2 linked regions of the Styela clava genome follow. The protein of the gene in region 1 purifies or fractionates together with the protein of each later gene. This does not show direct contact. Links are inferred from orthologs where the notes say so. Each region holds a gene or a part of one and is shown on either strand. Other genes may lie near its edges.

Region 1 (16,682 bases):
ACCTTTGAATTGTTCTGTTTGTTTTGATAGATTTATTGGATGCAGAAGAGGCATCCGATAACCTTGACCTAATTAGAAATAAAAAAATCAATAATTTCATTTTTCATATGAATGATGTCTATTAAGATTATGCCTAAAATAAATCAGTCTGATTATTCTAAAACATAGTAAGTAATTGCACACAGTTCAAGCAAGAATTATACAAGGCAATAACATAAACTTATATTCTAACCTTGGATCATCCATAGAAGATGATGATGTCGTGCTCACAGTTGACGAAAAATCTTCAGAAGTTTCAGTTGTATTTCCGGATGAATTTACAACATTTGTTGACCTTTTTCTAGGTGAAGTGCTTCTAGGGCGTCCATTTTCAGTAATTTTATCAGTAAAAATGTTTGTATTGGACCTAATTCTCCTAAAATTAGGATCAGATGGAACTCGATCCACACTTCGCTTCATTGAATTTCGTTCTCGCATACTACTGCTTCTATTAACCGCTTGACTGGACGTTCTAGTGCTGTCAGCAGCTTTATTTTCACTACACACTTCCTGAATTGCACTTTCTTGTCGAATATTTTGAGTAGTCACATCGGTGACTTTCCCCGCTCGCTGCCAGGCTTTTAAATGAACCATTGCATCTTTAGGGCTCGTATCATTCCGTGACATAGGATTTGAATTACTTCTGCGAATTCTATGACTATTAGATGGCGAAAGCGGCTGTTTTTGTAAATCTACAGATGTTGATTTCTGTAATGTTCTAGGACGAACATTTCGTCTGTCATAATTTCGTGAAATACTAGGTTTTTGAAACACAAAAGGTTTTGGACTTAAAAATGCTAATGATCGTGTTGAACTCGAGTCCGCTACATTACAATGTTCAGGTACAGATGACAAAACAGTGCTTTCATGGCAAGATTGTTGCATTTCAGATGATTGGGAACTATATTTTTTTGTTGAATCAGCAACGTCTTTTACAGTATTTACATTACGTTTTTCAGTATTATTTTTCAGTAACAATTTTGATTTTGAGTTTTCTTCGGCTATGATTTCCACATAACTAATAGGAATAATTCCATTTTTCTTTGATTCATTTTCAACTTTACACCACTCTGAGTTCACTTCTCGAATAATCCAAATTATGTCACCTTTCGTTACTGACAGGTCATGTTGATTTCTGCTATCATAGTCATACATAACCAGAGCTTTTCTCTTTCCACAATCCAAAGATTTTTGATGACCCTCTTCGATATTTTCAGTGGGGTCATGTGACTCAGAATTATCAACATGTTTTCTTAGGATATTCGTCACAGTCTGTCTGGCATGTTGGGTTTGAGGCTTCATATTATTAAAATTCTCATTGTTATTAACAATTGTTTTATTATTATCACAAACAGGTGAGTTGGCAGATGAAATATTTTTCTTATCATTTGACTGCATATCAGAATAAGAATCTTTTGCTTCAATGGTCTGTGATACATAGGCTCTTGCTACATACCCTTCTGCGTCTCCTACTTTACCCATGAACCAATGTTCATCAACTTCTTCATAAATAGGAATAATAGTTCCTTTGTGAAATGATAATTCTTGCTCAGATGATCCACTGAAATTATGCAATGCTTCTACAGTGTATAAAATATTCTTTACAGTTGATTTTTCAGTGGCGTCTTCGGCAATATTATCTGAAATTTAAATTAATAGTCATTAAAAAAATATGGAAGAATAATTGACAAAACGGGAGTGCTATTCATAAAGCATGAATATCATTTAACATCCATACTACGTACAGAATGGCTGCGAACATGGATGACAAAATGAATTGATTCGAAATTTATTATTTGATATTTTAAATTCTTTATTTTAGAAATATTTCAGGATGAGTTATTCGGACAGTTTTTACTTTTTAAAGCAATTGAAATGTCACAGTATGACTAAAAATGTCTTCACTTAATTTCTATAACTGTAAAATATAGGGAATCAGTCAATCACTTAATACCGGTAATAATTGTTTATATCAATTTTCCTGTATTTTTCCAAATTTTGACTTGTATGTGTTATTTGTTTGACATAAACCAATTAGGAATATATTCAATAATTCATATTTGAAAAATTTTGGTCATTTCAAAATGTATTCGGAATAGTAAATTTATCGGTTATGGTCATAGCTGATCTCCACACAGAATTTCAGAATGACGACAGACACGTCGTATACAGTATATTGTTATTATTGTAACTCCCAATTGAAATTCCAAATATTGTTACAATAGAGTATCACATACACCATTGTTCACTTGATATAATTAGGCTGGCATTGTATCAACTAGCAAAAGGGTGAAATTGTTACAGCACAGCTGATATAGGCTATGAAGTGAAATGTTGCATGCAGGTATACAACACAGAACAATATTGACTAATTATATTGTCCTTGTGAACTGTTAAAATAATATTTATACAGTCAATATCTATGAAATATGGATATAAAATTAGTATTTAATATGTATTTCCATAGATAGATACACATGCAATGCAAATATTATATCTTCTAAGAGTAGATATCAAAAACATAAAAGCACACACAACCCGTCAATCATTGATGATGTGTGCATCGGAGTATAGAAGTTTAAAATTTATGCCACAATAGAAAGCTGTTACACTATTATATGACAAATCACAGCCTTGTGCCTGATTATATTCACAGACATTCACTTCTCTAACAGTTTCAAACAAAACGCTTGTTTTAAATGTGTTAGCATTGCAGGTAAAAACATTCGATTCCAATTCCCATGTCCACAACCTAACCCAGTGGCAGCTTGTGTAGAACCTTGCTCAAAGAGAGAAAGACATATAAAACCTTGTATAAGACAATACAGAAACTGGATCAAGGATTTGCCAGGAAAATATTTATATTTTTTAGTTACCTGATTGAGTTTTTGATGAATCTTCATGAGTGTGAAAATATTCCGATTCTTTATGATTTCTTGTTAATTTGGTTTCTTTTTTAGAAAACTCAGCAGCAGAATAATTTCCTACGTTTACTACACTATCAGCAACGACATCAACATCCCCTTCTTTCCATCCTTTATTTTCATTATGATCATGAGAGACGTCGACAGAAAAATGATGCTGTTCAGTAGACGAAGTTTTCAAAGGTGCTTCAAGTTTGACAAAAGATGCAGGGAATGAGCCGGACTCTGACCCAGTCTTGCCGTCAAACCACAGTCCATCATCTGATACTCCAGTGATAAGAATTTCATCTCCAACTTGAAAGCTCAATTCTTCATCTAGCTGTGCTGTCAAGTTCATAATGGCTTTAGCTTTTCCCAGAACTGTAAAAAAATTGTCTATTATAATTTACATGACAAAATTTAATAATTAACGATTCCAAATAAATTCTACAGTAATATTTTTGAATGCACGATATCTTCTAAATTTGATCATGTGCAGTAGAAGTTAATGATAATGTATATTTGATGAGTTCAATACATGAAAGTTGAAGTATACAGTAATAAACATTTAATTTGATATAGTTCGCAAAAAATTATATAAACACCTTACTGATCATACTGTGAAGCATCAATTGCTTAAAATTATAATTTTTCAAACAAATATATATATTAAACTAATCCCAAAATAGTATTCATATTTATGGTAAACTAATTAGGGACAATAACAAAAGCCACATGCCTCAAATCAATTTTTCAAGGATAAAATAATCACCTTCAGATTTATCAGCCATTCCTTTGGTAGATTTGATCTTGTTTGCCGGTGGGACGACCGGAGCTTTCCTTCGCACTGAACTTTTATTGAAAGAATCTATCTTTGGTGATGGCAGTTTCGCTGTATAATTAAGGGGGAATATACCCCTGTTTGAGTTTCCGGAACGACCTGTACCCCATTCATTATTGACTTTATTTTCAAGTACAATTATGTCACCTGTGAGATATTATTCAATTTTATTATTTTATTTATTGCTAATATAAGATTATGCGTTTCTGCATACACTCACATAATTCCAATGAACTCAATCAGCATTAGAATTTTTTTAAATGTACCGTAAATGTCTTTTTTCTGGTTCTTTTAAGGGCAAATATAATTGAAGTTCTATGAATGAAAATATGTATTTAACGAGTCAATTTTTAATTTATATCACATTAATAAACAGAATTTTTAAAATGAATTTTTCAAAAGTATCATTACGATAATCCAATTTCCAAATAATTCATAAATTACACACAACTCACCAAACAATAAAATGAGGCATCTCTTGCATTTCTTAGTTTTAAAATGAACTATAATTAACCTTGTTGTCACTTGTAAACAATGTAAATTACTACAGTAACCACAGCATTATTTTTACAGTCAGATAAAAATTCCAATATTGGCTTAGAAATTAAATCTTATGTATTGCTATTCCAGCTTATGGTAGCATCATAACAAAAATTAGAAAGAACAACATTGAAAGGCATAATATAAAGATAATATCTAAAATTGAACAATGCTTGTCATTAAAAGCTGTCAAAGAAGCTTTGTTACCTTTGTTAAAGGAAAGATCACCATTCACCTCAGGGTAGAAAGCATCAAGTGCATATAACAATACTTCATCTTTTGAATGTTTCGGTAAGGCAATGTCCACAACAAAATCAACTGGAAACTGACCTGCGATGGTTTGCATAGAAAATATTAAAGAAAAACTATTCAGATAATATTTTTTGAATGATGGAGAATGCCTTGTCTTTATGGATCTCACCGATTAAAATAACGAGGGCTTAATAACCAAAAGAACAAAACTTTAAAAAACTTTTTTTAACCTATTAATAAAATAACTCCTAACTTATTACTAAAATACATTCGTTCTTTTTCTTGAAACCCTCGATATGCCATTTATATTGAATAAATATATTATACATTTATAATAAATATTTAAATAACACCAATAATCGTAGATTTGACTCAAAATACCAGCACACTACCAATGTCTACCAGTACGACATACCAAATGAACAATAATTAACAGGTGAAAGTTATTAAAAGCAGTCGAACCAAACATAAGTGGAACATTTTTAAGAGTGAACAATGGAGCAAATGATATAAGCATTATACACTTGACTCTTTCAAGTGCACTTATAAGGAAGTACGGTATGTTCTCGAATTCGGTATTTGTCTACATTAAGTCAGGAAAGTTTTGTTATTTGTGATTGTGATATACCGTAATTACTTTCTTGGTAGTAGATTGATAACAAGATAGCAAAATTGAGCCAAAAACGGAAAGTGCGAAAAGGAATATTAAGCGAAGTTTTCTGAAATCATTCATCTCACTGATTCATTGTACTCTTATTCAAGTGTTTAGAACAATTTTAACCATTTTAGTGAAGCGGAACCCAATGTAACATTCCAGTGGCTTGAGGAACCCTTGTGCAATACTTGTACGAAGAATTGTACAAACTATAAATGTATATAAAAGCAAAATAAAATGGTCTTCAAAATGTTCAAGTTCAATATTAGATGCTAAGTAAAACCTGAAAGGTATTTGATTATAATTAAAAACTATACATATGATAATAAAGACTCTCGGGATTAAATGTAAACTAGTAAAAAACCCTGGACAGGACAGGCTGAACCATGGTTGAAAAACTAAGTTGGATTCGCAGCTCGCCTAAAATGTAATAAATTGGATGAACAAAGCTGTAACAGACAGATTTCAGCTTTTCCATCCTTACTTAATCAATGCTGCCTATACAGACCCTTGTTTAATGAAGTTGTAAAGCATCTCATAAAATAGACTAGGGCCTCAATAATAGTGAAGCAAGAAAATTCTATTGGTACAATCTGAGTATATGAGGTCACAATAATTAATATGGCATTCAGGTTATCATATTGTCAGATCACAAAATATATACCTCAAAAGAGCTAGATCAGAGTTTCTCAAACTGGACTCTCAACCCACCTCGGGGCCAAAAAGTTCTCTGGGGCAATGAGCGAAGGCTTCCACTGAAACTATTCGCAAAGACTACATTTCAAAGTTAATTTAAACATAAATAGTTTGGTCATTTGACTGTAATCTATATATTATTTTAATCTCCTTTGTTGGCTTCGTACTATTAAATATTGCGAATACACCAACTGATAAAAACCCATCATTAAAAACAAAATTATACTTTGTTATTGAAGAGCAGGGGGCCTTTGTAATGTTGAATCTTTGGAATGGAGCCACATATTATTAAAGTTTGACAACCACTGAGCTAGATACTCTATACGCCCATCTTTGCAAAAAGACGCAAGTCTAGATAATTACTTGGCTACTTGTCAATGTTCATAAATGAATCTAAATTGGAAGTAAATTGCATAATAGTAATAGCTATAAATAAAAAATGATACATACCAATCTTTCCATTATTAAGAGTTAATCCTTTCATCCAGAAATCATCAATTTTATTGTGAACTTGAACCACATCCCCAACTTCCAAATTCAACTCATCAGAAACACTGGGTGAAAACTCGAATAATGCACGTGCAAACCATATTTCAGAATTTCCTGGTGGTGGCCTGAAATTGGCCTTACTCTTACTAGGGTTCATAGTTCATGATAAAAACTGGTTCGTTGAAGATTAAAAACAAATAAATGTTTATTTTATTTTTTTATGTAATATAGAAAAACAATAACCATGCATATAATATATATTATATATATTGAACCATCTAAGAACATGGTCTACGGCAGCAGTTCTCAAACTATGTGTCGCGACCCACTGGTGGGTTCGCATAAAGAATTTGAGTGGGTCGTGAAAAGATGTAGGAACCTTTGAATTAATTATACTGGTTATTAGGATCGGTGGCGACTCGAATACGGAAATCTTCAAAAAAACATAAGAAATTAAATTGAATTTAAATTCTGATCTGTGAAAGTTTCCTTTTAGGATCATCTCAAAGGAACAAAAATTTGCTACACAAAGAATGACCATGTGGCTTTTCTATGCATAGCAGTTTTGTGCACTTCTTGCTGTGTTTCCCTGAAATTTAGATAGGATTTAGATTTATTTTTTTTTGAGGAATAACACTATGGTTTTATTTTTTGAATAGTCTTTTGTGTTCATTTATCAAAAATAAAGTTATATTGTAGAAAATCACAAGATTTTTTAATAATTATTATATAAAAACCGACATCCATTGTTTTTATTTGTATTTTCTATACAAAAATCAAGTGACAAATATCATAATTGTGATTGTGACATACTGACATCACACAATCTTGAATAGTGGAGCGATCAGTCAAATATTTTGGCAACATCTAAGCGCAGAGTATATAAAAAATATGATCAGTTTGGGATGAATTAAAGCTATAAAAGGCGACCAAAATTGAAACCATACATTAAATATGGTAAAAATACCATACCTCAATACAGCTGACAATATGTTTCCTGATTATCTCATGCTGGTCAAATATTCTCCTAAATTTCAGGATTTTGAAAGTTTCACCAAATTTTGTTAATTAGCAGAGCCAAAAATGAATGGGTTGTTTTTAATATTTCAACACGATGCTCAAATGCTTGAAAATTAGTGTTATTCCAAGATATTTCCGCAAGCCATGATTAGACATAATCAGCTAAAATTTGATGAGTATTCAGAAATAGTTACACACAAATCAACAGATATTCAATCAAGGATGAAAAAAAAATCTTTAGTTGAATCAAACACCGAAATTATTGCCAATTGAAAATGTCTATATTATGATATACTATCACGAACATCATTTTATAAATTTGAAATTTATTAGTTTTTCTATTGGCTTGATTAAATTAATCTTTTGACTGAATTAATGATTAGGCTATAAATCTGATTGTTATGAAAAAAGTTGAAGTGGTTGAAATATAATTGTAAGTCTAAGGAAATTAGGTAGATGAATCACAACGAATGTCGAATGGATGTGTGAATCTTGGTATTCATACATATATCAACAACCTGACAACCTTAAATTTCAACTGGACAAACAATAAGTGATAGAGAGCATTCATAGCATTGATGCTTCCGGTTTATAACTTAAGTTTGATTTAAGTATCAAACCTACGTAGACTAACCAAGTGCAGTTATTAAACAAATACAGCAAAGGGGGAATGATTTTTCAACATCAAAAACTTGAGTGTACAAGTGGCTATAGATCTATATATCTATATAATATTTGGGTCTAGTATAGTTTAGTACCACAAGTACTTCCAGTTGGCGTATCAAAATGAATTTTGCATATGTTATTCCTAACCCCCACCTGACTATACCATCTAAAAATTACGTCAATACGACGTCACAAACATGTCGTAGGGCTTGCCAAGGTATAATTACGATCGCCCGAAATGGCATCTGCACCGCCGATAACGAACTCGCTAGGAGTCGCTAACGCCGGCTATCTCTCTCCTATCGTGATCATTATGACTGGAAAACGAGAGAAATAGCTTGCTCGATTTCGGGCGATCATCTGCGCGTTTTGGACGATCATCCGCATACTTTGGTGGGCCTTATTACGCCAATGTGACGTCCAAATGGCATAATTTTTCGGTGACGTAGTCAGGTGGGGGTTAGGATTGGCATATGCACAAATTGTTGAGCCATGCCAACTAGAAGTGCATGTGGTACTAAACTATACCAGACCCTAATATTTGATTCAGTTTCAAGTTTCATCTAAACTTATTTTTCTATACAGTTTTAAAAAATTTTAGACCGGACTAAGCCCGGTAGACGAAAGTCGAAATAAAGGCCAGGTACAGCAGTACAGAGGTACCGTACTGGTACCATACCGGTACAGACGTAGGTATCGATGGCTCATTATCGAAGACTGTACCGGTATTCATAATAATAAGTAGGCTAATTAGGCTATCCGGTAATATAATACCGGTACCTGAATACCAGTAAATTTGTTTTCAGGTTTTGTTAGGTCATTTTACAACTTTTTGAATTGAATTTACAGATTTAAGGTTTTATTAATTTTATCCTGGACCCAATTATAACATTGATATCATAAGTACCGGTACCAAGAGAAAATCATTGAAAATTCTAAGTAACTAAACGAATGACTACGGTAGTACCGTAACCTCAGAACGTACCGGTACCGGTAGCTAATTTCCTAATTTGGTGGCAAACTGGCAATGGTTCAGCATTTCCTATTCTTAGTACATAAACGAACCTGCAACTTCTTTTCATTACCGCATTAATGTGATAGAAAATATTTTTTACTATGGTCAACCTGCGTTGTGTCTTTTTTTCCAAATTAATCCTGAGCGGTTTCAAGGAAAACAGAACTATGCGGAACGTAAATGGTAGATTCATACTATGGCGTCAAATGTATATGGTGGCGTCATACACAACAATGGCAATGGCATCCATATAAGTTTTCCTGACCCTTGACCCTGAAAGATTCTCCTTATACTTATGTTATCACATCAAAATTTTCAACGTTGATTTTGAAAGTGTTTTAGCGAGTTGGCGCCATTTGGTTGGCGCTGGTTCACATGTTCAAAACTATCATTTTCATTCAAATAATAAACCACGTGCCCCGTATTAGTACTAATAGCTAATTTTATGCTAGTCTCTCGCATCGTTTGCGTTATCAGTTTTGGATTATTGTAACTAAACTAAAGGTCTTCAGAAGACTTAATGACAATTAAATTATTTGATTTAAAACGTTTTTTTTTTTTTTTTGGAAACACAACTAAAAACTGACGGATATCACTTAGAACTACCAAAAAGAAGGCACGGTTTACAACCACGCTTGAATATCTGTCGGGGCGAAAAAAGTGTCTGCGCGGCGACATAAATTCCATTTTTTATGTCATTGTTAACTTATTGCTGATTTATAATTGTTACGTGAATAAACACATAATTTTATGCTCGGGGAAACATCCATACCCCGATAGCCCTTTAGCGAGTCGGCGCCTGTGAAATGGGGTATGTGTTTCAAACCATCATTATGATTTATCGCATACAACAATATGTTTTTTAAAAGGACCGGTAAATAATTTTAGCCTAGTCTATCACAGCTATTTCTAAACTAATTTTTTTATTACTGCAATTAAATTAAAACTCCTAGGAAGACAGAGTGATTATTGAATTATCTGATTTAAATTTAAGTTTCCGAAACACAACAGAAAACTAACGAATAGAGTTCAAAAACGCGAAAATAAGGTAATGTTTACGATCACGCTTGAAAATCTGTCTGAGTGGAAAAGTGCCTGAGCGGAAGCGAAAAGGGGAAATTGTTACGTCACTTTTGCGTCTTGCTGATTGGCCAATGTCACGACGTAAACAAGGAAGTCGATGCTCGGGGAAAAGTCCATGGTCCTTATTTTAGTTCTATTACGGATACTCCCAAAGTATGCGCACCCCTGAACCCTAACCTGGTCCGCAACCTAAGTTCAGGTTGTGCGCCATCTTGATACTTCAGGAGGTCCCTATTACGAGTTCGGGGACTAGCCAAGTGACTCCCGTAGTATTTGTACCCGAAATTATGACCTAACCCTAACCTGGTACACTACACATACTACGTTCCGGTGTCCGACATCTTGGTTCACATACTCCGGGAGTACCAAAATTTAAGTTTGGGAATCAGAAGAATTCGAACAAGAACACACATAGACTAATCAATTAGAAAAATACACAAAAATATTTTTTTTGCAGAATTAAAAATAGTCAGTCGATATCTGGGACCACGATTTTAACGCGAAATGTCGTTGATCGTTTTTCCGCGCATTGGTGAAATAAAACGCCGTGTCTATCTAAATCAGTGGTTCTCAAACTTTTTTTGCTCGTGGCGCACTAAGCAAATAAATAAAAATCTTGCGGCACACTCGTGAAAAAATAAAGCTGGACTTCAACAAATTATTCAGCAAATGCTAATGCGATGTGTGGGCCTGTTTTGAGAAACAATATAAACGAGGTTCCGTCTCTCCCGTTTTTGCTTTTAATTTCAGTCAGAACATAAAATACGTGTTAACAGAGTCATGGGGATGCGAATGGCTAGAATATTTTGATGGCCTTTGCACCGATGAATAAACATAATTTGTAAGCAGATAGCCAAAACTTGTTCAAACCTGCTTTCCTGTTACCTAACTGAACGTGATAGGTCGACACGGTGGAAGGTGGACGTCATGTTTACAAAAACATTATGACATCACAATACATTTATGCCGAAACAATCTTCCTTACTGCAACGACAAGGTAAGACAAGGTAAATGCTATATATAATATTATCAGTAGGGCTGGGCATTTTCGAATACCTGATGATTTCAGAATCGAATCGAATATTTTTTTCGAATCGAATCGAATCTCGAATACTTATAAAAATTTTACCAAATTAGCAACTACAAAATTACATGTGACTTTTTTTTATTGCAATGGGTCCTTCAGATACATGAAATCCCAAAAACACAAAATCTATCACTCAGTCATTTGCTAAGTTGTCACATATGATAAGAAACATGCTTCATCAATAAGTCAATGGGAAGGAAAAAGTCATATGTCAGAATTGCATTTTAAAAATACAAGAGCTTCCACATGTGATCCGGTGAGGCTTAATCTGAGCTCAGTGGCAGTGTTTCCAGCTGCAGAAAATAATCGCTCACTTGGGGTTGATGTTGCTGTTACACACATATATTTGTCAACAAGCTTGCTCAAGTTTGGATAATTAGCGTGTTGCTCTTTCCACCAAGTGAGGGGGTTTGAACATTCAGAAAGTACTTTGGAACTAAAAAATTTGTTCACTTCATTGGCAACTACTGGGACCTCAGTATCTGCACTGTCATCGGACTCTGATGATTCGAAGGCAAGGCTTATGATGGATGTCGATTGCTGAACTGAAGAAGATGAAGGTTCAGCTTTTTCAACAACTGTTTGTTCAAATAAGACTGTGAGTTCCAATTCGATTGCACTTTTGAGCTGGAAAAAAAAAGCATGTCAAAAAAGAAAACAAACTTTAGCCAGATCAACTAGGAATCCTTATTAAGTATGGCCAAAACAAGCAACATTTGGATAAATTTGAAATTTTATGCATTCAATAAATGACAAGTTTTGAATACAGGAATATTTTAGATTAGTTTTCTTATGGAAATCTGCGATTTAGGAACCACAATTGACATCAAACAAGTCATTGTTCACTAATGTTTATTATACAGTGGGGAAAAAGTCAACTCTATATCTTTAGATATGGTCGATGCAGATATGTCATGAATTTTATCTAATCCTGTCAATGCATTTGAAACATGAAGATACATGAAAATTCAATTTGACCTCATTCCAACCAAAATAACATGCTATGTTGTTTGTCATGTAGGGCAATTTTGTTGGCAAAATAAAAATCTTATTCAGAAAGAAATAACAAGTTACCTGAAGTGACTCCACAGTACGAAGTCCCCGCAGTTTATATCTGGGATCCAGAGCCATTGCCTTCGAGCTGATATCATTAAGATCAATAGGAAATCGCTCCTCCATTTCGCCTTTTACTTTTTGTCTGAACTGCCGGATTACCAAAAGTTCATCATCTTTCTCGCGTGACAGATGTTTTTTCAATCCCTTGATGTATGGATTCTTTATCGATATCGAGACATATTTTTCGCCTCCTAAAAGATCAGTAGCCTCTGCAAAAGGTTCAAGTACTGGAATCAACTGCTTGAAAATCTCCCAGTCCCCAGGCTTGATTGTAAGAGCGGAGGCTTTGGTGGCATTTGTGATATTTTTATTTCCAAGTATAGCCAAAATTGGCCATTGCAATTCCTGCAACCTTACAAGCATGTTGTAAGTACTGTTCCACCTTGTGGATACATCCATTATGAGTCTTTTGGAGGTGAGCTTCATTTCCTCACACTTTTTCCCCAGTGCACTGGTTGCCAATTCACTTCTCTTAAAATGTTGCACTAGTCGTCGAGCTGCTGCAAGAGGTTTTTCTATGCCGTTTATTCCCAATCCTTTGTTTAAACAAAGTTGGAGAGTGTGCGCTGCACAAGCAACACTAGCCCAACCAAATTTTTCATGAAAAATATCTTTGGCTGCCTTCATATTAGATCCATTATCGCTTACTGCTGCACAGACAGCGTGAGGACTAACACCAAAGTCATTGAGAACTTCTTCTACCCACTCACAAATATTTTTTGCAGTATGTCTATCATCCAAAGGTTTCACACTTAACACACATGAACACAGATTAAATTTGGCATCAACATAATGGGCTGTAATGCCCAAATATGCTTCCATTTTCACACTAGTCCAAGCATCGAAAGTCAAGCTCATATGCTTAATGTTTTCAAGAACTCTCTTAAGCTCCATCTTTTTTTCACAATATTCTTCCTCTACACGTCGTGTTATGGTCCTCCTGGATGGCAGTGAATAATTTGGTGCAACATGTCCCATTAAGCGCTTGAAATGTGTTCCTTCTATTGTGCTGAGCGGGCGCATATCCTTTACAATAAAATCCACAACTAGAGAAGTAATCTTTTCTTGCTGAGCAGGGAGGATGGGACGAATAAGTTCCAATTTGGACTGTTTACTGGAGGACTCGTCCAAATCACTTCGATTATCAGGGTTCAAACAAATAGTTACATGCCTTCTTTTAATATGGGCTAATAGATTACTAGTGGTAGCATGGTAACTAAGTTTGTCTCCGCATCTCTTGCACACGACGTACTGGCGTTCGTCATCGTCTTTGGCTGGGGGAGTAAAGTGGCGCCAAACGGGAGATTTCCTATTCATCATACCGTACTGTTGCCGAGTACCGGTATACAATATTCTAGAAACCCCTTTAAAAATACACAATAATTCTGCAAAAAAAGCACGCAAATTAGTCTTCTATACCTTCTCACTTGCAATGTCGGCAATCACAAAAACATACGCAAGTGTAAAACTGCCTGTCCTACAACTGCCTATCCTAACTGACGGCGCAACCGATCTTCCCGCATTCTGAACAAATTACGCGCCATAAAAGCGTGCGTGACAAAATCACGCCGGCGTAGCACGTGCGAGAGATAATATGAGAGAGAAGCTCGGCCGTTTGTCCTGCTCACAGCTGAGAGCAGAGAGAGGGCTTTGGAGAGGTGCAAGTCTGGACATGTTCAAACGCCGCCTACAGATGTGAAAGAAATAAAAAAAAAAAAAAAAACAGCGATCGAAATGTCCCGCCGAGAGATGGCTCCACAAAAAAAAAATCGTTAAATCGCCTCGACCATTGGTGGACAGAAAAAAAAAACAAGATGGCGGCGATTCGGAATTCCCGTCTGAACCGATTCGAATAATTTACTATTCGATTCGATTCGAATATTCGATTCGAAATGCCCAGCCCTAATTATCAGTGCAATTAAATATGGATACTCAAGTCTCACAAGCTTGCCAGCTGCATGTATGCCTATGTGCAATACGAACAGCTCGTTTTTCAAATTTCCAAAAAGCTTCACGGCACCCTTGCTCATCTCTCACGGCACAATAGTGTGCCGCAGCACACGGTTTGAGAAACACTGATCTAAATTATAGAATCAAAAATAAATGTGTATTTTGCAATGTGCGAGTGAGGCAATTTCTTACCAAATTTGAATATGCCTTTATAATTGCGAAATTTCATGATGTTAATATCAGACAGACTATTCACGATTTCAAGGAAAAATGCAGTTGGGAGTTTTCCGAAAACATACACCGCCGTGTATATTTATGTAAATAAATGTGTATTGTGCAAGTGACGCAAAATTTCTTATCGGGATGATTGGTTAAACGAATATGTTCGATAATCAGAAAAAATTGTCTGGCTAGCATTTTTTACCTCTCCATATAAATCTTTGGGCTGTCTCTGGGTATAAGTAGGTAGCGTAGTCTCGCCGGATCTTGCTCTTCTCATATTAATGACCGCCTCAACGCAGAATGAATGTCTCATTTTAGAACTGCTTACTACCTGCATGGCGCGGCTACCTCCTTTAACCGTCTTCTCTCTCTATTACAGTTCCCATGTCCAGAGATACCTCCTATTCACCTTTTCCTGGTGGGGTCGCCTTCTCTACATCTCTCGCTGATTAGCTCTCAACGTACGGATTTCCGACTGCGGTTACGTCTAATTCTACTCCGTAGAGAGAGAGTTTATTTTATTTACTGATTTGAAAGATAAAAATAGCACAAAAATAGATAAAAAAAAAGTTGTCAAACTGTGCGTTAAGACTACTAACGCAAAAGAGGGTATGTGTTTCCAGAAATGTAAGTTTAAACCGGGATTTTCAATTTTGAAGCCGGATCCAATATTTTCATTGAAAGTTTCAGATAAGAATATGAATATATAAATAAACAAGAGAGCGATATGCTCAAATATGCGGACGCGAAAGCCAAAACAAAGTAGTATCAAATCTCTTACAGTTCCGGTAGTCCTAGTCCATTGTGGCCTTACCTTCAAATCACTGAGATGTGATGACGGGACCACGACACAGTGCGCAATTTTTAATTTTGGTGGAGTCATCATACAAAACTTCGACGTGAAAAACAAATCCCATGAAGACAACAAAAATTTTTGAAATACATAAAAATAACTGTTTTCGTGTCCAATAATCGTCCTCACTCACTATTCAGCGCTTCACCGCCATTACTGATGAACTGTTTTACTGAACGATGAACTGTTTTATTGTAACGTAGTGGTTTAGCGGAAAATTTTGGCTGATATCTTCGGTATTCATATTATACGTGCAATGATCATTGCTTTGTGATGTCGGTACTTGCGTTGTTCAAGTTGTGTTTTTCACGAGAGACGACACCCTAGAAAAAAAGTATTTGTCTTATCTTTTTAAAGCTTAAGTCAATAAAGAACTCCATCTTGAAAATGGATTTCACAAGTGACTTGATAAGATGTTAATACATAATACAACTTGCTGTGCGTAATAATAAACTAAAAACTTCAAATTTATAGATATGGCTCAAATTTATGGCGATAATAGCAGTATGATTGACTTGTTATCAAATCAGGGTTCAAATCTTAGAGCCATATTAGTATGGAAGATGTTTTTTAAAAGGCACAATCCACAAGTTGGCGCAGTTGTCCTTCTGTGAGTCAACTCAAAGGTTCGGAACGAAAGCTGCCACGCAGTTAAAGTTTATGTACCACCTAGGCTTGTACGTAATTTACGAATTTACGGAATTACGTAATTATTTCGAGTTACGGATGGGAAGTTACGATTTACGTAAAGTCGTAATTATTGGTCGAGCGCTTTCGTGATGAAACAAGCTCTTTTCAAAGCAGTCAATTCCATTGATTGTAAAAAATGAAATAAGTAGAAGAAGTTAGAGTTTCGGTATTCGCAGCCGTTTTTTCTTTCTTGCCAAGACGACGCCGTGATAATTAATGTCGCGCTTATCAAACAGCAATATGACGAAGGGAAAGAAATTGCGTACTGCACCAACGCAACTTCGTCTTTTTGGCATCGGTAAAGCGATTAAGACGGCAGAGAAACAACAAATCGCCGAGTTTTCCCGCGGACCGGTGAAAATTCCGCGGACCGGTGGTTAGGAACCATCGTTCTAGAATACTTATATAAATCGAATCTAGAATCCTATTTTATTTTTATAGTTTCACGTATTTCAATAGTGGAAATTCCCCTCCACAATGCATGGTTAAAATTAAAAAAAAGCTAAATTGTAGCCTAAATGTATAGCTATCTTTGTAAAGTATTTAATTGGAAATTACATTTCAC
Region 2 (15,839 bases), on another chromosome or scaffold:
CAGAGCTCATTATTTTCGAAAAATACAATAATATGAGATATGGATACTTCTTTGATTAGGAATGGATTTTCTTTAAACAGCTTCTAGTTCTAGTTCAAAAAATTTTTTCTATTGTGAGGTGCTTTCACAATTTCAGTGTCTTGTTTGGATTCGAGGCCTGTAAAAATCTGGCAGACGTTAAATTGTATCAGCGCCCTACTCCTTTCTCTAGTTCAAGAATTAGAGACATAAAAATTTAATTCAACGTCACGAATCGCTACTTTATTATAGCAAAAGTTACTAATAACCCAATGTTTTGCAGCTTTGTACGGCGTACTTTTCTTTGACCGACAAGAAGAAAGTTTTTCAAACTATAAGTTATGGGAATCCATAGGATTTGTTGTTGCGTTCGCTTACCAAAGTTACGTTTGTGTCTACGTCAAATTATACGTACTTCTCAGTTTTCTAATTGTTGGAATGAGCTTGTATCTTGCTGTAGAGGTTAGTATCACATTGAATTCTTTTTACGTTCTCTGCATATTCTTTCACCCCACATAGATCAATCCAAAGTGAACACTGACCTACATTCGCTTTTCTAGCCAGTATTTGCTAATTGTTTCGCAACTTTGTTCCAAACAGATCCAGATTTGATTAGTATGACTTTATGTTTTACATATATATACTTTGAATACAAATTGGAAACTTCTTCTTAACTAGTAGCTTTATAAAGCAATTTGATTGTATGCTAGTGCACTGTAGAAAAATGATTGAGACAACTAGATTGTATTTATGTTTAATTAAGGTACTGATAAGTGTAGAGTAATTTTACTATAACATCAATGTGTTCCCTATACGTTTCAACCACAATTGATGTATTATGGTGCAAGGATTATTTTAATATTCTCATTTCAGTTATTAGAAAGAAAACGGAAGATGAATCAAAAATCTGCTAATACATCAAAAGATCATTCCGAACGAAAACAGTCATTTGACAACATACGTCACAATCCAGAAGACAATGTAACAAGTTTTTGAACAAAGTCCAAATTTTCTAAATCAAACTTTAGTTCATAACATTTTGTGATCTTTGTATAACTTATACTCTAAATACGCACGCTCTTGTTGAAACTATGTTTACAACAATGTAATAAGCTGAATATCCCAATGAATCTTATTATATTCATAATGCGTCACCAGATATTATTGGGTTGCTTGCGCTGTAGCAAAAGTCCAGTCTAGTAATATATATCATCAATTGCATAACATGTGCGCAAAAATCAGTAAATCTTCGACTGCGCAATAATTTACCAATTTATCACGTCTTCGAATTTGGAAAAACTAAAAATTGTTTTGATCTAATCAGAAGAAAAAGTTTAACCAACAGAATTTGTAACATTTTTGTCTGCTCTGGCTCTCTTTATCATTTCCCGTACTATCATGGAAAACAGCTGCATATTTGTTGCTCGATATGTACAATACTTTTTCGGTATCATACAAGGCAATTTTTCGTAATTTTCTTCGACTGCCGGATAGCACAATGTTGACTACACATTCTCAGGTGCTCATCAACCGTTTGAAAAACAGTGTCAAAACGTGGTGAAACGGTGATAAAATCATTTGATTTGAATCACTGGTCATCACAAATGCTATTCAACTGCAGTTACACAGCAAGAAATGTAGCAATCATTATATATACATATTACTTCAGTATCATACTATTTACAAGTCACTATTCGTCGAAGCCATGATTTGTCCCATGGGACTATTAATTTGGTCATTATGTAGCGGTGAACAAAAGCAAGCTGCTATATATATATATATAATAGAAGCCCTGTGTCTGTCGGACTGATTTTTTATATATGTCCAAAGAAAGAGATAAAAAGAGGAGGCCCAGTTAGTAACATTAAGGCGGTGTTCGGTTAGTAGACGATTGGCAACTATGCCCTATGGAAAATTGTCACAAAACAAATTCATCTTGTCAGTGATAACCAATTGTACAAGTGAAACGCGCAAGAGAAAGATAGAAAGCGAGCGGGACTTGGCGAGCGCAGTAGGCTATCTACCTATTCCATCCGATTACTATATCGAGTAAACGGAATCGCAATGTACCAGGGTTGCCAACTGTTCAGCGATAAAATAATCTAGAATCTCAACAACAAAAAATCTAAAATAATTTAAATTTAAAAAATTATAATCCAAATATACGAAAGTTACATTTTCAATAAAAAAAAAAAACGAAAATTTTGCCGTAAAGAATAATAATTACTTATATCAACACGTCTTTTGGAACATAAGTAGTGTAACTGAAGTATTTATCATGAAAAGAATTGAAAGCTTGTTGCGTCCTTCCGAGTTCTCACGGAAAATGATGTGTACCAGACGTCAGATGTTAAAATATTATTTGCAATTAATTTAGAAGAATAAAAATAACATGATCTCTTTCAACGAAATAGTAAGTATATTTGTGAGCTTTCGTTAGATCATGGACTAACTTCTTCAAAAAATACAAGATATAACTGTAAATATAAAAGATCATATAAATTTAGTCTATTATTGAGTTTCCTATAACTGGATATATATGGATGCTATCGTATCATCTTAGAATAGCCGGTCTAACTGATTTTTGTATTATTCATAATCCATCAATATGGTGGGAGAATTCCCAAACTTAAATAACAATAAAAATAGAATATGATTCGGTATTCTGGATTCGATTAAAGTATTCTAGAATAGTAAATTATTCTATATTTCCCATCCCTACTTATAGGGGTAAAATTAGTGAACAACAGTATTTCGTGATTTCAGATTTTCGCATAACAACAGCATTCAGTTCACGCCACTTTCAGAGTATTCAATACTGGACATTTTTTCGGCTAACCTCTCTCCTTGTTTTGAACACTATTAATCTTGATTGGAAAACTTTTCTGTATTATATCCAGGAATCCTATCTCTTTAAATGTACTGTTAGGTACTAGTGAAACGAACTTCACTTTTTTGTCACTAAAGAACAATGCAAAATAACATTTGTCAAAATAATCTAAATGAATACTAAAATAATCCAATAAGACATCTAAATAAGTATTTCTTCCATCTAAATTATACGAAAATAATCTAAATCTAGATTAAAATAACCCAAGTTGGCAACACTGCAATGTACACCACACTAGTCTTTACTTTGCATTGTTGCGTCATAATGTGTACCTATGAGAGTTGTTTTTTGCCTGCTTCGAGGTTTTCCTTCATCTGAGGTCATAAATAACAAGAAGACAATTCTCAATATGGACAAGGAGGCCAAAACGAAAAATTTTACCCACAATTTCCGCAAAAACCATATCCTGAACGAAGCGGACTGTCCCAGGTTGCCAGTTTCAAGGTGAATTGAAGTTAGGGTTCCCAACTTAGTGCTAAACCATTCTGGGACACCTTAATGTCTAGAATTTGCAAATTGATGCAACACGAAAGACATTAAAAGCAACAGCGGTTCAAAAAAGCGAAAACGAGGTAATGTTTACGGCCACGCCTAAAGATCTGTCTGAGTGAAAAAAGTGTCTGAGCGGATGCGAAAAGGGAGCATTGTTACGTCACTTTTTGGATCTTGCTGATTGGCCAATGAGACGAAGTAAACGAGGAAGTCGATGCTCGTAGAAAGGTCCAATAAGGGACATTCATAACCTTTGACCTGTTGCGATTTGATGCAAAAAGAGGTGACGACTGCTTTTTCTTGTTGAAGGCCGACGCGACTAGGTCTGTCTTGCATTGTTTCTTATGAATACTGGAATGTCACGGTGTTTCGTAGCGGGAACTAAAAGATACTATTGGGAAAAAACTAAATGTATTCTGAGACAATATGTCATTTGAGTAAAAAATCGTGTTGAAATGGGAGGTATGGTTGCTTATGAGTACAGGTGCCTTGGGTGCCGGTGGTAGCAGCTCAAAAAGTACCGGTATGTCAAAGTAAATGAAAGTTATCCTATTTACTTCTGCAAATGGTATGAGATAAGATTGGTTATAGCTTTGATCATTAATAATGGCATACTTATGTTGAAAAAGTATATCACATTTTTTCAGATGTTCACGATTTGAATACCGATAATTACAGCAGAACCCCTCCATGCTTGAGCTCATACAACATTCATCAATCATCATAGTTGCTGTGTAATTGTACATGGATCATTTGGTTGAAATACAAAACCACCTTTCTTAAGAAGACTTGTATCTGTATGCTGGGAACTTCTCATTCTCATTTATAAAAAAATTACGGACAGAAGTTTCATATGATTGAAATAGCAAGCACATCACTAAAGAACACCATAAGCAGAAAATCTGTATCTGATTTCTTGGAACCTCTCAGTTCCAATTATGAAAAGTCACAATCGGCAGTTTATGGTCAAATATAGAATTTTGCTATGCTATCCTTGATCTAAATATACCCAAGCACAGATAGAAGACATCGCTTCACTCACATATTAGCATATAGATTACGCCGATGCCCAGTGTTTTTTTTTTCTCAGGTGCAAATGACAAAATCACTGTACTACCTTAATTTCTTATAACAATTCAGCATTTTGGGAATAGTAATCATTCTTGTTACGGGTGCCATCCCCAGGTAAGAATACACAATGGAATTTATTCAACTTGTGTGTGAGATATAACTTGTTAAAAATATACATTTTGGCTGTCTTCAAGGTTCCAGGCAAGAGTGGATAATTGAAAGGTTGCTAGCTAATAGTTCAGTATTTTCTAGAGATTTTACTGAACTGGTTACGGTTCTCTCATTTTTAACATCTGTAAGAGCTTCTTTGACATCACTCAAACTCCTTGCTCAAACAATTCCAGTAGAAACACGGCAGGTAAATGCTAGTTCGGAAGTCTGTAATTGTGAACTTTGTATACCATACAGTAGACTGATTAAACCCCTTTATTGTCTCAGTATGTACTCCACAGAAGCCAGTTTTTTTAAGATATTCTTGAATAGTTGGCTTGGTATTTCTATCAATGTACAGCAAATTTGTTGATTAGGTTTTAAGAGCTCAAGCATGAAGCATTTTTTTTCATCTGTTAGTGTTGTTGACAAATTGTAAACGTCTGAAACGAAAAGTGATATACTTACAATTTACATACTTACTCTGAAATTGTTTGTGAGCACAGTTTTTATCTAGGTATAACGGTAGTCTGGTAGTGTTATTACTTGTAAACAACAATGAAAACTCATCGGCATATTTCTCAGTTGCATATTTTCAGTATTGGCGGGAAAATAAATTACTCATCACATATGGAGGGAGGCCTACGGTACATGTGCACGTTATTTTTACTAAAATACCGAACGCATCTGAAAACAGTATTTCATGAATTGATTTTGACAATATGTTCTCCGTTTAGTTATAGGGTTTCTTAAGTTTAAAAATGGTTTAATGTGAATTCATGTATGCGCATTTAGTGTAGGGTTGGATCATCCGGATAGCGGTTATTCGGATAACAGAGAGGTATTTTACTATCTGATATCCGGATAATATTATGACGGTTAACCGGATAATAGAGCAATATAAATAATGTATATGCGCATTAGTAATTTTTATATTTTTTGTTGAGTGGCGTCTTGACTTCTCCCAGACTCCAGAGCATATAATAACATATTTTATTCACACTACTCTGCCCATATTTTAGCCACCAATTAGGTTGAAAAGCATTGAATGTGTGGGTGTGAGTTTGTGGCTTTTTGCTCGGGTGTGGCTTTTAGTTTATTGCGTGTATTGAAGGAACGCATTTCATGATGGAACAAGCCAGGACTTAATTCCAAATACTTCGTAATCTATGTGATCTGTGTGGCATTTCTAAATTTTCGGTATACGAATGCATGTAATGTGCATGTTTTCAACTTCCTAAATTTTCCTATTGTGCAAAATAACCAATTTGTGGCTGATTCGAGCATTTTAAAATGTCTTTCCATAATAACTCTGTTCAACGTATCTCTCGATTGCGTCGACATACGTTAAAATTAAAGCACTTCTACTATAAAATGTCACCGCATTCTGCATACCGGTATATGAAAATACGTAGTAAGATGCACAATTAAATTCAGTTTTTATTCGTATTTTTGCGATCTTGCGAATTTGAGCTATTCACAATAGAACTGTGTGGTGGTTTTTGGTCAATTCGCCGTGAAAATCTTGCGAAATCGGATCTTTAAAATTAGCAGCATTTTAAACTATCCGGTTGACTGGATAGTTAAAATACGGAATACCCGGATATATCCGTTATCCAGATAATAAAAATTCTAGGTATCCGAACTAACCCCTGCTCTTTATCGACAACTAGTGTTTATTCAGAAATACCTAGCTACTTGCTGGTGTTTTGATAATTTGATTGCCCAAGGGCAAAGCGTATATATAATATAAGCGAGGCAACGCTCTGACAATGGACGCCATCTTGTGCCTATTGTTCTCGTGAATTTAACACGGCGCCTTATGAGAAGTTCCAACACAATTATTGAAACATACCTATTATTTTCACTAATATTTTAGGTAAAATATTTTTGAAGGTCGTGTTTTGAAGTAGAATCTTAGCCGTACATGCTTATATTGTTTCATGTTGGCCAAATTACATTTATAGTACATTAAATTGTCTTTGAAGACAAGTATACCGGTTCCGAGTTGCTTCCGAAGTAAATCGGCTATTCTAATCGTCATAATTAACCATTTGACAATGGCGTTCCTTATGACGTCACAGATGAAAAGTTGTATTTATTCGTCGAAATTACCGGCCGAACCAGCTTTGCTTCAATGGTCGTTTCTATTTTCTGGTTAACATTTTTCGTCTGTCAAGCTCCATAATGCCCTATTGCTCAGCTGCAAGCTGCGCTAGAAGAACAAATGACATTGTAGGATTGTTGCGGAGGCATTTTACAGCCTCAAATTGGCGTATCAGTATAAAATCTTTGAAAAAATGACCAAAAATGGTTCTACGCTGTGTTTGTGGTCAAATTTAACGCATTAGATAGTTTTTTATTCCTAATTGCGTTATATATTTAGATAGCATATATCTTAAAGTTCAAAATCCACCCTTCGGTTTCATTCTAGACCTTATAACAGCGGACTTATTCGATTCGGTACAAAAACACGACGAAAATTTCCCATAAGACTGCATTGTTTCGCGTTTCCCAAATAGGGCACAAGATGGCGTCCATGAACTTGTTTAACATTAGGCAAGTTGGTTGCCGGCCGTTGCCCAAGGGCAGCAAAGTGAATATAAAAGTTATAGTCACTTTGGATGGCAGTGGTTGGTGTGTTACGGTAGCGGTGCAAATGTTTTAGATTCTCTGAGATTTGTCTAAGACTTCAAGACTAATCAAGTTCCGTATTGTCACTAAAATTAAATTTGACAAAAAATCTCATCAATAGCTAAAAGAAAGTCTGAAAGTGGACGGACGTAGGCGGGTACGTGCGATTTCTGATCCAGTGATCGGTTAAACTAGTGCCAGTAGCCTAGTGTTGAAGTGTGGTGGCCGGGTGGTGTTTATAAATTCACAAATCTGTTGGCCTGCTGCTCATCTGACCAGGGCACGTCTGTGCCTGGAAATAGCAGCTGTCGCCTGGTCGTGCACCACCGATATGAGCTTGTGAGTTTTATTGCTGTATTCTGGTATTGTACCGGTACCGGTACTGTTATTTATTTATTTTATAACAGTACCGGGTACCGTATTATTTTTGTTTATTTTCAGTCTTCTCGCAAACTTACTGGCCTCAGAAGTTGTTTAAAAATAATTATATTTTGTACAACTAGACTACAATTGTTAGGACATTCAGACATTACCGTACCGGTACCACACCTACCAATCACCTTTTCTTGCACAACTGTCTGTATAAAAGACCATATTATACATATTTGCTTTAATTATTGATTTATTTTTTTAATTTTAATTATTTGAAAGAGGGGGGGAGGTAAAAGAAAAACTTTTAAATACTGTGTTAAAAAATCATTTTTTGTATGTGTTTCAGAAACTGGTTTAAAGGTCGCAAAAGTCTTCCAGCGGAAAAGGACGTTGCCAGAGAATATATAAAAATACAACAGTATGTATTTTCAAAATTGAAAATTTGTTTTTCTGCATTTGTACTATGTGCTATGTAATTCTTAATTTATAGTCCTTATAATAATTGAATGTATCACATTCACATATGAATTTTTATTCTTGTTATATAGACTGTCCATATCTGGAGCAAGTTCAGATAAAACTATGAGATTTGATATTCATATTTTTTTCTATTTTAGCAATCCGATTTTTCGTATCTGTGTTAACTCATGTGTTTAATGCAATGTGGGATAAAATGACATATCCAGAAATTGGAATCAAAAAATCCAGTTTCAGAAGTTTTTAATAGTTGCTCAGTAGTCAAAAAGGTTATTTCATTTGATTTTCCCAGTGCAAGCTCAAACTAAAATTAAGTATTAATATGAAATATGTATTATCTGATCAATTTACAAACATACCCAATGATATCATTATGAATTATAATTACTGGTATATAAAAAATAATGCCTATTACATTCTAACAATTTGTCCATGATATATTAGATTAAAACACATTATTTCCTTTATTCATACAGTGCGGAAGAAGCAAGTAAAAGACTCTTTAAAGATGGTAAAAAATTAGCAGACGCTACAGTTGTAGCTGGAAGAGCTGCTACAAAAGTTGGATCAGACTTTAACACATTAACAGGAGAGAATGAATGTGGTAATATTCTGAAGAAAACAATGAGTGATTGTGGAAGGATGACTCAAGATAAAGTTGGTGAATTATTTATTCTGCCAAAATGCCAAAAAAGTTAAATAACAAAACTGCCCTATGTACTACATGGGAAGCTTAAACTATGGACAATTACAAAATAGTATACAGGGAGTCCTCGACTTACGACGTTGTTCTGTTCTCAAGACACGGTGTAACCCGAATTTTAGTGTTAGTCGGAACATTATACTGTACAGTACATAAATTATTCTATACATATCGAACTGTATTGTAAAGTATGGTACTGTAATAAAATGTACAAATAATGCAAAAAAGTACTTTAAAAACAGAAAACAATTCCATATCACATGAATAAAAGCAAATACTGTACAGTGCAGTATTATCTTTTATATTTTTTATGGAGTGCATTCGTAACGTCAAAACAGCGTTATTGAGTGCGCGTTCGTAACCTCGAAACAGCGTAAGTCGCGACCGTCGTAACCCGAGGACTTCCTGTACATGAATTTTTGATTTTATCCCAAACAATTTCACATGCCATTTTTCCAGATAACTGACTTGTAATATGTTAATCCATGTTTTCACTCATTAATTTCATAAAATTAGGCACCAGAAATCCCCTTAGTCTTGATGTAAGTGCTGCATGTGTTCAAAACTGTATAATACAACTGAAGGTTTTATCACTTGCGGAAAAGATGCAACTGAAAGTTATTCAATGATGCAAACATGATTGAATTTATAAATTATGAAAATTTCAACTTAAGCTAATGCATGAATACCGGTATATTTCATTGTGTTTAACTAATCATTTATTAATATTATGCATTTTTTTAATTTCATGCTCCGATCTATCTGACTTCATACGTAGACTCCATTTTGTATTCAGAATCAGCTAATCCAGAAGACATTGGTTGATCCCATGAAGAAATATAATTCAATTTTTCCACATCTCAACTCGCAGATAAAATCACACGAAAAGTGTCAGCAAGAATACAAAAGATTACAGGCAAAAGTTGATAAATTGAATGAAAAGGAAGAAACTGGATCAAATTTGGTGAAAAAGCAAAATGTTAGTAGAGTTATGTTTAAGCCAAATTTCTCAACTGATCAACAAATTAATAATTGAATTATCATTTCAAAATATTCCCTCGTATTCAAAACACTTTACACGAGTGAAGGAAGCAATTAGTAATCAATTATGGATTTAACCAACCAACAAGAAAAGTGACAATTTACTTTCTTGAATAGAATACTAGAAATTCTTAATATTTCTGTCAGCGAATGTCCTAATGCTAACAGATACAGCAACCTATTATCAATACAAAATAATGAAAAACATTTTAGCAGCTGTATTTCTGTTATCTTGTAAACTGTTCATCTCATATATAAAAAATTAAACATTCCGACTTTTCAATATATTGGTAGGCACTGAGTGCATATGGTGTACATAAAACTTGTATTTTAAAGTCAAACTTTTATAACAACAAATCTCAAATAAAAATGTGGCTTGTTAGGTCATTTTCTTTGATGTTGTGCAATACCTTACCATTACTAGAAATATATTTTGTACAAATTTTCAGTTGAAAAAAGACCTCACACCTGTAAAGGATGAATTTGAAGCAAAGCACTCCATGCTTCTTGATGAGTTTCCTGCTTTTTATAACAGCAGATTACAGTATTTACAACCTCTGTTTGAATCTCTTGTATTGACACAGGTATAACGAGGTTTCCAATGTTTTGCAATTTACCTTACCCCTCTATATTTGTTAATGAGTATTTATTTATTTGGTTAGCAGGATCCAATGAAACTTTGAGTAACTCCGGCTCCATATAGCATGGTAAGCTTGGCCCCAGCTCAAACAAAATATTAAGACTTCAGCTATGCCCGTAACAGATGAAAAACGTACTCAAATACATTTTACTTCAGATTATGGAAAAAATTCACTTCAATATGAACAAAAATATTTATGTTTACTTTTTTCTCAGTCCTGGCATCACAATGAATTGAATAAATTATTTAACACTGCACTCAACGATCTTACAAATGGAGAACCAGAACGAGATCTGGAAGAAGACGTCAGGGAAACATTGGAGCAAATCAGAGCTTTGAGTATAACTCAAGACTGAACACTAAACAGCATCCATTAGGTTCGAACTTTATGCTGCCAGCCCTATTTTATGAAATGGTAGTATGTGTGATGTATTTATCAATTTTTATTTGTCCTCGCATACATAATGAGACATCCGTATTTGTATACTTTATCTTATATTCAATCGTTTTATTAATACTAGATATTATATAGATGTGTTATGCATCTGGCTCATGCTACAGTTTACATTTTTACAACCTGATATTGATGTGAGTGTGACACAAACCATCATCTCCTTGTCAGGCTTAATTTAAAAATGTATATTGGAAGTTTTGAAAAAAATTGGATTGTTTTGCGCCCCTACTTCGATACCTGATTGTGTTTACCTTAGCAGACTTTTTATACTGCTTCAGAGTGCTACTATTTTATTTTTGTAGGCTTGAATAATCTTATCATTGGTGTCCTTGTATTCATATAATCGTGCTTATTAATCTTTTACCTTCAGTTTTTTTTATTGTATAAGAGATGTATATTTTAATTTCTAAAATTCTTGGATTGAATTATTTTTGTGAAAACTCAATTACCAGATAATTTTACCTTTTTACAGCTAAAGTTGATATAGATTAAATATTGGTGCTGCTAGCAGTTATTCTAAAGAAAAAATTATATTTTTAATCTGTTTTTTAAAATTGTATGTTTTTTGACCTTTAATCACTCCTGTAGGCAGTTTTGAAAATGAAATTATACATTATATTAACAACTGATGCTTACAAAAGTCGCTTTTTGAATATTCGCTTTGAATATCATTCATCATAAAAATAATCCCTACCCAACAAGAATTTAGCAAAGCTATTTGTTGGTCTGCTAAATTTAAACCTTAAGATTTGATGCATTGAATATTTGGCAAGTTGTCTCCATTCAACTGATTGTAGTAAATTATAAATATGTTTTGACTGCTAATTTCAAGGCGTTATGTTTCATGATTAATTTTCATTCTTGCAATAAATCAGAGTTAAATAAGTCTCTGAAATATCAGTCTTTTCATCGTTTGTCAAGTAAGATATTTGCTACTACAAAATGGATCCAACCAGTGAAGCTGTTTCATTGTCAGTTTATATATTCTTCAGTAATCCATTCAAAAGGTTCTTTATTTTTTTAATGTTGAATATTTTGATAATCTGATCTTTTAATCTCTCAATACTTGTTTTTTGATGCTTCCCTTCATCCAATTTTTGTTTTGAACCAAAAGTTGTATAAAATCCCTCCTGCTTTAGGACATCTGTATATTGGTAAAGATGTACTTGCGAGTACGAAAACCATGCCATCGTTTATTTTATTTTGAAAAATGAGTAAAAAATTTTGATGTACTTCATTATACTTTATAAACAAGTGTGAACCTTTTGAATGCTCCCTCAAATGAGCTATTATGATATAGATATTTTATTGTGATTATTATAATTCTTTTGTATATGTAATTGATAATAAAAACACTGGTTGATAACGTTTTTTTGTATATAAAGAAAGCGGGTTAAGGACATTTCCTAGTCGAAAATTCCATCAGAGCGCCATTTACACTGAACCAGTAACAACACTATAGGTGTCGCTGCTTGAAAACCTAACCAGGTCCCTCGCGAATCCTGTCGCGCGACTAACTTTACTATTTTATTGGACACGTAGTGGACATAACGATCGTTTCAATATTATGTTGTTGTTGTTCTTAGACACGTTTTGAAGATATCGCTTTTCTCTTTGATAACTGGACTAATTGCTTTGAAATTTTCAGTGAGTAAAGATTATATTTTTTGCTAGAGGGCTATTACTTTTATTTTTTGCTATGACGTCATCAAAATTATATGGTGCTAGGTGTCCATATATTTGAGTATAGTACTCTTGTTTATTTTCTGTACCAATCATTGTGCATTTGTTTTTGTGACAACAAACAAATATTGATAGATAGAAGGTGGATTCCATCCGTCTCAAAGTGGCTCGACTTCTTTTTCTTCGTCACAAGTTTAGCATCCAATAACATGTCTGACAGCTTTCCACGAAAATATATTCAACCACTTCCATTGATCTTATTGCACTTAGACTAATAAACTGTATTTCGCACATGGAGATGAAAATTTCTCGGCTGGAGTTTTTTTGGAGTAAGGTATCCGACAATCCGATATCGCGGCGTGTGATTCTGGACGCCTTGCAAAATCAACGCGTCTAACTGCACCACGGTACAAAAATATCAATACAGGAAAGTTGCCAATAAAGTGTAACTCGATTCAACAAATTACATCAATTTCAAATTTGATTTGAGCGATGAATACTGCAAAGGTCATGCAGTTGCAATGCCCGCAGAAAAAATGAATCTAATGACTGCAAGATTGCATTATTCGCTGAGTTCATAGTGCATTTACTTGTTACTATTCAAATGCCGTTTAACGTAGGTCTTTGTACAAATTTAGCTATAGATTCTGTTGCGGAGTATTTTTTTAACGTTTTGTCCATAGCATTAGCCATAGCGACTGGTATTATACGGATTGGGTATTAGAGTGAACAGAACATGGACTACGGAAGCAAATTTATATATTTGGAACATTGAAAAGGAACTCCACAAGTATGTGTACCAATATGTAGGAAACTAATTTTGTTCGCCTATTTTACATCAAGTTGTGTAAAAGGACTGAAACATATGAGTAGGAGGATATTCACTTAGCTAACACAGACAGTCCCCGAACTCGTTATAGAACTAAAATAACAAAAATCGGAATAAAATTATGGCTCAGCCCTAACCTGGTAACACATACTTCGGGAGTAAATGACAAGTCATTCGGATTTCGGAGGACTAGACGCATACTATAGTTAATCTACATTCATTCCAAAACATCGATTTCTCAGATGTGTTTCGTATATAAATTCGGCATCCAAACCAATTGAGTGGCCAAAAGAGTTATTAATCTAAAAAAGACGTAAGTTTAAATAGTAGTTCCATGATTGCAAGATTACAATCTCCGAAGAGAGACAAAAAGAACAATAATATAAAAATATATATAAAGCACATCAATACTTTTTACAGTTGAATGATCTATTTTGTTTCGCGAAATGCGCTGGGTAAATACATGCATTTTGTTTCCGCTGTTTGTTTCTGCTGAATGTCGATGTTGGGACATTGATCGCGTAACATACTTCGTGCTAAACAACTCATTGGTATTTTTGATACAGTACCAGGGAACTTTCAAGATGAAAAATTTCTCTTAGAGAATCGTACAGAGTAACCAAACTATTTTCGAACTAGTTTTCAATGCGCATCATTATCTGTAGGACAGTCGGAAAATTTTTGAAGTTTATCCGTGCTACAGGTAATATTATTCGTGAATGGATGGTTCTGATCTTGATCCAATCTTTTCTCGAATGACATATTGTTAGGGTTGCAGTCATCAAAAATAGAAAGTATACATCGATATTGTGGTTCTTTCAAAGCATAGTGTGCAATGTTTTCAAATCGAGATAGACAAGAACAACGTTGGCAGGACACAGTGAAATGCTTTTTGCCGACTCTCGTCTTGATTACTTCGCCGTGTTTCTTCGCAAACCGGCCGAGCGGGATTTTTTCTCGGGTGCAAAGGGACATTCTCTTTGTTTTAATACGATGCTTTTTGTAAATAGTCTAGGTTTGTCATTCGTGCAGCAGCGAATGAGTTTATTGTTTACATCTATTTCGAAGATGTAGTAACAATAACGCTTGCAGAATATCGGATGCTATGTATATATGTTTAATCGTGACTTCAGTCCTCCAAATTTTCTGACATATTAGATAGTTTATATAACAATTATATATATATGGCTGTCGTGGGTCAGGAAAGGTAGCCTACGGTGAATGTAATTCTATGTTTATAATGTCTGTATCTTATTTTAATATGTCATGCTTGTAGGCAAGGTTTGTAATAATGACTGCATGGGTGTGCATAAATGCACTCACTTAGTGACCAATTTTTCCATTAATCATCGCGGAGTTAACAATAACAAAGCGCTTTCGCTTTTGTATTCGTGCTCATCTCCGTATACTACGTCTTCCAGTAGTGTTTTAATACAGTTTTGTTAACGTAAATATTAATTTTGTGCTTGGAAAGATCGCCCTCGCTTTGCTTACTTCATGAAAAACGCTAACTAACACTAATAGATAAGTACGGTACTGTTACGGGGGAACATTCACGTCAACTTTTTCGTTCAACAGTATTAATTTACTCCGTATTAACTTGTAATGTCGAGCGCAGAAACTAGCATTCTCCATCCGGTCGAAACTCGATCAAAATCGATGCAAGAATACAAATCCTGTCAAGATGGCGATGCGAATAATTCAGCTTTAATGACCGAATTTCCTCCTAGCAGTGAACCAACACCCACGATGCAAAATTATCCCGCAGGTAACGTAGAATTTAACTTACTTTGAGCGTACACTGATTTCAACTTATGCTGACAAGTTAGGAACGGCACTATATCTACTTCGCGACCCGGACTGCGTGCTTATTTACGAAAAAAATGGGGGTTTATCTCCCACATTGATATACGATTTTACATAGAAATGTAGGCCTAAATCAAATATAAAGTTAAGTTTTACGAATATCCGAAACTCACTATTTCCGTCTCAAAGTGTTTACTTACTCGGCAAGTATTTCGGGTGTGCCGTATGAGGAAAAGAAAAATCTGGCGCTAGCCTCACGAAAAGCGTAATAGCATCTATTACGTAACAAACAATGTTGCACTCTCAACAACACCGCTGTACAGTAATCTGTTATGCGGTCGATGCCTACATTTAGTCATGTATTTTCTTGCTTGCCGAATTACCACCAATGCTGGTCAAATTCACTCTTAAGGGGTAAACTTACTCTTAAAGGGGTAAGTAAACTTACCCCCGGTTGAGAATTCTTTGGCCTAATATATAGCGACACTAAGCAAGTACTATATTTCCAATATTTTGATATGCCAGAAAAGTAAAAATAAATTAAACCCTTCTTTTTGAACCTGATTTGGAGGAACTAAA

The links.
Region 2: the proteins of dynamin-binding protein-like (region 1) and bridging integrator 3-like purify together in Homo sapiens (co-immunoprecipitation; 5 studies listed by BioGRID and IntAct, counting the BioPlex papers as one, with this or other methods). This does not show direct contact. The link is inferred for Styela clava from reciprocal best matches to the Homo sapiens genes DNMBP and BIN3.

What each region holds. Positions count from the first base shown.
Region 1 is NC_135258.1:12,936,054-12,952,735, reverse strand, and holds the start of dynamin-binding protein-like, read right to left. Parts: upstream 6,584-16,682; 5' UTR 6,573-6,583; coding exon 6,377-6,572; intron 4,654-6,376; coding exon 4,531-4,653; intron 3,931-4,530; coding exon 3,715-3,930; intron 3,324-3,714; coding exon 2,916-3,323; intron 1,680-2,915; coding exon 233-1,679; intron 69-232; coding exon 1-68. Other genes in the region: E3 SUMO-protein ligase ZBED1-like, read right to left, coding at 11,491-11,913, 12,361-13,722; alpha-1,3-mannosyl-glycoprotein 4-beta-N-acetylglucosaminyltransferase A-like, read right to left, coding at 15,720-15,750. UniProt on the Homo sapiens protein: Plays a critical role as a guanine nucleotide exchange factor (GEF) for CDC42 in several intracellular processes associated with the actin and microtubule cytoskeleton.
Region 2 is NC_135256.1:9,885,057-9,900,895, forward strand, and holds bridging integrator 3-like, read left to right. Parts: upstream 1-7,198; 5' UTR 7,199-7,586; coding exon 7,587-7,594; intron 7,595-7,973; coding exon 7,974-8,045; intron 8,046-8,580; coding exon 8,581-8,761; intron 8,762-9,603; coding exon 9,604-9,786; intron 9,787-10,297; coding exon 10,298-10,432; intron 10,433-10,703; coding exon 10,704-10,844; 3' UTR 10,845-12,308; downstream 12,309-15,839. Other genes in the region: protein unc-93 homolog A-like, read left to right, coding at 302-480, 892-1,014; uncharacterized protein LOC120328458, read left to right, coding at 15,060-15,222. UniProt on the Homo sapiens protein: Involved in cytokinesis and septation where it has a role in the localization of F-actin.